2 linked regions of the Sus scrofa genome follow. The protein of the gene in region 1 purifies or fractionates together with the protein of each later gene. This does not show direct contact. Links are inferred from orthologs where the notes say so. Each region holds a gene or a part of one and is shown on either strand. Other genes may lie near its edges.

What was found.
Region 2: the proteins of RPP30 (region 1) and RPP25L purify together in Homo sapiens (co-immunoprecipitation; 3 studies listed by BioGRID and IntAct, counting the BioPlex papers as one, with this or other methods). This does not show direct contact. The link is inferred for Sus scrofa from reciprocal best matches to the Homo sapiens genes RPP30 and RPP25L.

What each region holds. Positions count from the first base shown.
Region 1 is NC_010456.5:102,568,700-102,572,510, reverse strand, and holds part of RPP30 (ribonuclease P protein subunit p30), read right to left. Parts: intron 3,171-3,811; coding exon 3,114-3,170; intron 1,681-3,113; coding exon 1,606-1,680; intron 1-1,605. UniProt on the Homo sapiens protein: Component of ribonuclease P, a ribonucleoprotein complex that generates mature tRNA molecules by cleaving their 5'-ends. Also a component of the MRP ribonuclease complex, which cleaves pre-rRNA sequences.
Region 2 is NC_010452.4:32,187,739-32,191,949, reverse strand, and holds RPP25L (ribonuclease P protein subunit p25-like protein), read right to left. Parts: upstream 2,769-4,211; 5' UTR 2,672-2,768; exon of another isoform or gene 2,650-2,671; intron 1,898-2,649; 5' UTR 1,864-1,897; coding exon 1,372-1,863; 3' UTR 521-1,371; downstream 1-520. UniProt on the Homo sapiens protein: May be a component of ribonuclease P or MRP.

The sequences.
Region 1 (3,811 bases):
GGATCCGGGACTCCTTGCTCTCTGTCTGCCCACTCCCACTTGGGACAGGGACAAAAAGGGGCCACCAGAAGGTTCATGATAACTCTTGTGAAAAGTCTTCATGACCATAAAAAGAATCAGAATGCTGCCTGCAGTTGCATAAAATCTCCCAATTTGGCTTTCCACAATTTCCTCAGCCATGCTAACTGTTAGAAAGGAGGCCAGCCCCCCTCCTTGATGACTCCTGTTCTGTGAGAGACAGGCCTTTCCAGCTAAAGATGAAACAGCTCGCCTCCTCAGAGACCTCGTTTCCTCCATCCCTCACTGGGTCCTCTCCAAGCACCAAGCATTCTCAAGTCTGCCATCGAACAAAAAGCTAGACAGACAGCAGATTCTCACTGACCAGCCTCTCTATGCCTTCTGTTCCCCAGAGTCAAGTTTCTCAAGCAAAGTCAGCAGCACACACAGTCTGCACTTTCTCATGGCCCTATCATTTCCGTGGAAATGGTGTGTGCTAAGGCAACCAATGACCTCCCTGTCAACGGGGGACTTGCCTTCCAAGACACGTTTTAGCCCTTTTCCTGCTTGACACTCAGGCACACTGATGCTGCTGACCCTTCTCACTTTCCTCCTTGTCCTCCTACTTTTGATCAGGGAGTCTCATCCACTCTCATGACTTCAATTACTCTGTACAGGGCAGCCACTTCCACATCAGTATCTTCAACTGGGGTTCCTCTTCTGAGGGCCACACCTTTTTTTTTCCCCCAACCTCCCACTCAACAAGCTCCACTGGAACTCTCACAATAACCTATCATGTCCAAAACCTGATGCCTTCAAACTTCTCTTTGTATGTCCCGTCTCAGGAAATGGTACCATCTTCTCACGTGGCTGCTCAGGCCAAGGCAAGGAGTCATCACCTTCTATCTAATCAACATCAAATCCTGTGAGTCTCCTGTCCCAATGTCTCTCAAGTCCCCTCCTTTATCTCCTCATAAGTGTCCTCTCTTGAGGGCTTCTAACTGCTTACCCAGACCCACCTCCCTCACCTCATCCCAGGTTAGCCAGATCATCAGGCTCAACTCAACTGGTGTTTCATTTTCCGGAACGCAGCGGTGTTTCGTTTTGCTTTTCCCCCTGGATTCAGGACCTTACATAATCCATCCTGTCTGTGGGAATATTCTCTCCCCTACTTGGCCATCTCTAACACTTATTGCTTCTTCTGGTCCCAGTGTGAACATCAACTTCCTCAGGTTGGCCCCTGTTACACATTCCAAGGACATTTTTGCTTACTATCTCCCACTTTTTAAAATATTCCTTCCATTTTTAAGAGGACTGTGTCTGTACTATGCATAAGCACTATGCCCAGCACTCACTTATGGCTGGTTCATATAAGCTCAATGAATACCAGCTGCTGAAAGAGTCTTTAATTGTGGTATCTTTATTGTATGTGCCATGAGCAGATGAGATTTTGTTACACCGTGTGAATTCTGAGCTAAGTGGAGCAGTCAAGTATCGTGCACTGGGGATGCGGGGAGATCTAAGAATGGAGTGAGTTGAAAAAGAACCCTGTTTGACATTAATCAATACAACTTACAAGGCCAAAAAGAAGAAAAATAAATAACTTACCAAAACATTGCAGTGAGATGGATCGGAAACAATAATTGTCAGTCTAGTCAAAATTTTAATTGGTTTTGATTTTCCCTGTTATCAAAAGAGCACAAAATACAAATGACTGATTTTCTTCCTTACCAATGGGAAGTACACATTAAAAGGTACTAACAATAAGAGATAGTGAAGATCAATAAAACCTAGTCCTCGTGCTCAAGAATTTATGGTGCAGGCACACCTCATTTTACTCTGTTTCACTCTGTTGCACTTCACTGATAGTGTATTTTTTTACACACTGAAGGCTGGTGGCAACTCTGCATTAAGCAAGTCTACTGGTGCCATTTTTCCAAGAGCATTTGCTCACTTAGTGTCTCTGTGTCATGTTTTGGTAATTCTTCAGTATTTTGCATTTTATTATTATTATTATATCTTTTACGGTGATCTCTGATGACTGATATTTGACATTACTGTTGAAAACTGTTTTGGGACCCCACAAACCATGCCCACTTAAGACGCCAAATGTAATTGTTGAAATGACAAGGAGGATTTAGAATAAACCACACAAATGTGGCTAATAAAGCAGTTACAGGTATGAGAAGACCCCAATTTTGAAAGAAGATCTACTGTGGGTAAAATGCTATTAAACAGCACTGCAAGCTACAGAGAAATTTTTAGTGCAAGTAAGACAATTCATGCAGCAAACTGGAGTTGGAGTTCCTGCCGTGGCTCAGCAGGTTAAGAATGGACTAGTTATCCATGAGGATGCGGGTTCCATCCCTGGCCTTGCTCAGTGGATTAAGGATCCTGTGTTGCTATGAGCTGTGGTATAGGTGACAGATGTGGCTCACATCCAGGATTGCTGTAGCTGTGATGCAGGCCAGCAGCTGCAGCTCCGATTCAACCCCTAGCCTGGGAACTTCCCTATTCCACATGTGCAACCCTAAAAAGAATAAAAAAAGAAAAAAGAAAAAACAAAGTGCCATAGCCACCCCAATCTTCAGCATCTGCCACCTTGATCCATCAGCAGCCTTTAGCATCAAGGCAAGAGCTTCCACCAGCAAGAAGATTATAACTTGCTGAATATACAGATGAGGGTGAGCATTTTTAAGCAATACGGTATTTTTAAATTAGGCATATATATATATAGTTTTAAGACATAATGCTAACCTCACACTTACTGAAGTACAGTACACTGTAAGCATAGCTTTAATATGCACCAGGAAACTAAAACATTCGTGTGACTCACTTTATGCAGTGGTCTGAAATCAGACCTGTAATATCTCTGAGATATATCTGCACAGTTAGAGAAAAAAACATGCATATTAAACTACACGATGAGATATTTTAAAGGTTGCAGGACTTCAGAAAGATGATCAGAGTACTGAATTGACAGTAAGAGAATGCTTTCTGGAAGAGCTGAGTCTTTATGGAAAGTAAGACCGGTAGACAGAGGAAGGGAACCACACATATGACTGCATGTCTGAACCAAATGAACAGGTGTTATGCTTCTTACACCATGCACTTACCTGTACAACTGGCAAAGTTGTAAAAAGCTCCGAAACAGCTACTGGTTTTTCAATTTCCTATAACAAACAACAAACAGTCACCCTAGATGGTACATGTTAATGTGATGAAACATAACAGAACACTTACAACAGGTTTTCAGTAAGATAATTAAAAAAATAAAACGAAACAAATTTCTGTTACTCAGAAACACCAAGTTGTGCATGTCATTTTTAACGTAGAAAGCTGAAGAGCAGAGCAGCAGCTGAGAATATCAATGGATAGGAGGGATGAACAATAGTTCGGAGACTGAAACAATCTGTAAGGAATGGCTGTTGGCCTGAAGGGAGATATACATATTTGCTAGCATGTTGGAGAGGGAAATCATGAGTCACTGACAGAAATATAAAAAGAACTAAATATTGTGATTACAGTTTAGTCAATAACAATGCACTTTAAGTTACTGAAAGTTAATTAACATCAAATCAACTATAAGAATCCTTATACCATGCCCTAGCACTTCACTAAAAACCTTATCATTTGCACAAATATTCATCAGCTCAACTGTTAACATATAAGACAGTGCAGAAGTTCCTGTTGTGGCACAGTGAGTTAAGATTCTGACTGCAGCAGCTTAGGTCGCTGCAGAGGTATGTGTTCAATCCCCAGGCCAGTGCAGAGGGTTGATGCATCATGCCTTGCCATATCTGCGGTGCAGGTT
Region 2 (4,211 bases), on another chromosome or scaffold:
AAGTGGCAAAACCAGGATTCAAATCCAGGTAGTCTGGTGCTCAAGTCTACGATCTTAAACACTACACTATAATGCAGGCATACCTGAGAGAGATATTTTGGGTTTAGTTCCAGACCATCTCAATTAAATGAAGATCTCAATAAAGCGAGTCACAAGAACTTTTTGGTTTCCCAGTGCACACAAAAGTTGTTTACACTATACTATAGTCTATTAAGAGTGCAATAGTATTGTTTAAAAAACCAATGTACATACCTTAATTTAAAAATACTTTAGGAGTTCCCATTGTGGCTTGGCGGTAATTAACCTGACTAGTATCCATAAGGATGTGGGTTTGATCCCTGGCCGCGCTCAGTGAGTTAAGGATCCAGAGTTGCCGTGAGCTCTGGTGTAGGTCAAAGACAAGGCTTGGATCTCGAATTGTTGTGGCTGTGGTGTAGACCGGCAGCTGCAGCTCTGAATCGACCCCTAGCCTGGGAACCTCAATGTGCTACAGGTGCAGCCCTAAAAAAGAGCAAAGAAATAAAAATAAAAACATTTTATTACTAGAAAAAGTTGAACCATCACCTCAGCCTTCAATGAGTTATAACAGTAACATTAAAGATCACTTATCATAGATCACTATAACAAACATAACAATGAAAAAGTTTGCAATGTGAGAATTACCAAAATGTGACAGAAACTCAAAGTGAGCAGATGCTGTTGGAAAAATGTCGCCAACAGACTTGCTCAATGCAGGCTTGCTACAAACCCTTACTTACTTTGTAGAAAACACAGTATTTGGGACGTGCAATAGAATGAAGTATATCAACATGCTACAGATGAGGAAAAATGTCTGTCCTGGTAGAGAGTCTTTAAACCAGCCTCAAACAGGCAGCAGTCAGCCACCCAGTGGTTTAGACACAGACAGGTTACCACTTGAGGCTTTTTAATCAACCCTAGATCCTTCCAGCACCAACCTGAGCCTACCCTTCCTGTCTCCCACCTGTGAGCTCCTGGGGGTCAAGGGCAAGGACTCCTCTTCCCCTAATCCCACCTCCACACAGCAGGCCGAGCAGAGGCTTATCAAATGGGCAGAACTTTTATTTCCTAACCCACTCCTCAGACCTCTGTCAGAAGGTAGATCAGAGTCACTGTAGGTGGAAGGCAGAATAAGCTCCTCTTAAGCAATCCAGAACTCAGCAGAGACCCCACACCTGTCACTCTTCATCACAGTCCCTTTCCACCAGCCAGAGGGAAGTTGAAGTAGGACAGGGAGGTCCACTTCTGTAACCTCAAGTCTAGATGGGGATGTTGAGCAGTTACAGGGCTTCTCAAAGAAGGCACAGCCATCCTAGACATTCAGGCCTGGAGAACAGCTTGCTTGGCAGGTCCTCAGAACCGGGTGTCTCGTGCCCTTCTTCGGGGTCGGGGGCCACAGCTGGAGCTGGGCATGGGGCCCAGGCCAGGGGGTGCCCCTGGGGGCTGATAGCCACACTCATTGGGGTCCAAGGGGTCCCGGCTGAGCAGTACCCACACCGCAGGCACATGACGGCGGACTGTGAGGGGATCTAGGCCAGTGTCAGGTGAGGTTGGCACCCAGCTGTCCTCTGTTTGCAGGAAGCGCAGCTTGGTGAGCTGGTGCAGGCCTGGTACCCGCCGTTTGACGATCTCGGCACAGCTGACAGCCTTGCCGGCAGCCCGGCCAGAACCTGAGAAGACCACATGCCGGGCGCTGCCACCCTCCAACCGCCCCAGCGCCAGTCCCAGCAGGTTGCGGATCTTGCTGCCATCTCGGACTCGCATCTCCAGGGTATCAGGAGGCAGCTGGGGCATTGGGGAAGGTGCTGGTAGTTCCACAGAGCCAGCTTTCCGGTAGTGCTCCATCTCGCTTGCTGCTGGGTCTCAATCTTGCTGCCCGCTGCAGGGAGGTGTCAGAGGAATGCTAGGCAAGGTGCCCCAGGCCATCCCCCACCCCACCCCCCATCCCTGGCTCCCTAGGACATGGCTGTGCTCCTCAACCCAGACTTCCCAGGAACAGGACCACATCCCCTCACCCCCAGAGCAGGGATGCCTGCCTCCCCCTGACAGGGGGCTGTATCCCCTTCCTCCGGACAGAGCCATAACCCTCCCCCGACCCCCGCAGTCCCAGAGACAGGACCAGATTCCCCACTGGCCGAGCCCCCTCATCCCAAGCTGCCCAGCACTGGTAACGAACTTCCTTCATCTGGGGCGCCTTGGGACAGGGCTGGGGCCCTCGGCCCAGGCTGCTTGAGAACAAGACTTTGTGCTCCTCTCCCTGGACTCTCCAAGGAGGGACGAGGACAAGGTTCCCTCACTTCGTGCTCCCGGAGGGCAGGGCCAAGCCTCTACACCCCAAGCTCCCCAAGGCAGACCCCTCTTCCAAAAGCTCCTCAAAGGCAGAAGTGACCCCCTCCCCAACTCCAGGACCTCCAGGACAGGGCCGAGCATCCCTCGCCCAAAGATCCCCTGGGTCGATTCCCCTAACCCAGGTCACTCAGTAAGTCGGGGATAGCGTGGAGGGCTGCTCGGGCTACTCCTGGCGGCCGGTCCGCGGCCGCCACCGCCCCGGGCTGCTCCCAGTGTCCAGGCGGGCGCAGCGGCCCAGCAGCCGGCCTCCCCTCTCCTGCCCCCGACTCCGGGCGCCCTCACCCCGCTGGGTTCTAGCTCTCACCACAGCAGCCACGCACTCTACCACTTCGCTCCTAGTCCAAAATGGCGCGGGACGGGGGCGCGCCGAGGCCGCGGGGCCGCGCACGCCGGACGGGGCGGGGCCTCAGGAGACAGGACCAGAGGCGACTCTGCCCACAAACTGAGAGCGGCCGCGACGGCAGCTTGTGGGTATGAGCCCAGCCGCGACGCGAGGGCCGGTGGCATGAGGGTATTAGGAGTCGTCTCCCGTCGGAAGGAAGTGAAGGATTTGACCTCTGTTGAACACAGTGCAGTAACAAAGGCAGAGCAGCGGGTTTCACTTCGGACGGGAGCAAGAGGGGGGCTGCTGCTGCGGGGACAAGAACTTTGGTCACAGAGTTCTGAGTCTAGACCTCATCTTGTGGACACTGGCGTATCACGGGGAGGTTTCATCAGGCGCAGGTCAAACCAGATCTTTTTGGCACAGCTCACTCTGGCCGCAGCGCAGAAGGGAGCGGGGACCGGCCGCATCCGCTGGTGACTCCCGGGGGCGTGTCCACATGGACCAGCGTATGATAGGGCTCAAATATTTGTTAAATTATTTGTTGAAAGAATGAACTAGAGAAATGGCAGAGTAATGGGGAGAAGTAGATTCATTTGGAAGATAACAGGAAGTAGGTTTGGCGACTGTTCCGACGGAGAAAGAGGGAAGAGTCTAGGATGACTCCCAGTATCAGACGAGCTCAATTCGAAATGCCAACGAGACCGCGCGGGTGGGGTGGAAGGCCGGCGGCGGATGAAAGGGGCCTGGAGGCACAGCAGTCCCTGAGACCACAAGGGGGCAGCAAACACTTGGTGGAGTGAAGTGCCACTGTTTCTCGGCTCCAACCTGCCCCTTCTCCTTTCCAACCACCCCCGCACCCAACTAAAATCCCCGTCTCCAAACCTCTTTTAGGCTCCCCTTCTCGGTATAGCACCAAGTAGGCTCCCCAGAAAAAAACTTAAAAGCTCCCCTCTGCCTTTGCACATGCTGCAACCTCGGCTCTCAAAGACCCTGTGTATCACCCTCCAGGGATGTCCCCCACTTTCCTTTTTCTTCTGTGCCACAAAGAACCCTGGTGCCACCTGGTCCCCTTCCCTTTTCCTTGACTGTCTCCCTAGCTAGGCTGTAAAGGGTAGGGATCAGGTGGACCCTATCTGTGTCCTTCCCACCTGGTTGGCATCTGACCTTTTTAATTTTTTTTTTTTTTTTTTTTTTTTTTCTTTTTAGGGCTACGCGTGGCATATGGAGATTCCCAGGCTAGGGGTCCAATCCAAGCTACAGCTTCTGGTCCACAGCCACAGCAACGCAAGATCTGAACCACATCTTCGACCTACACCACAGCTCTTGGCAGTGCCAGATCCTTAACCCACTGAGCGAGGCCAAGGATCAAACCTGCCACCTCCTGGTTACTAGTTGGATTCTCTCTCTCTCTTTTTCTTTTTCTTTTTTTTTTTTTTTTTTTTTTTTTTGGTCTTTTTAGGGCTGCACCTTTGGCATATGGAGGTTCCCAGGCTAGGGGTCTAATCAGAGCTGTAGCTGC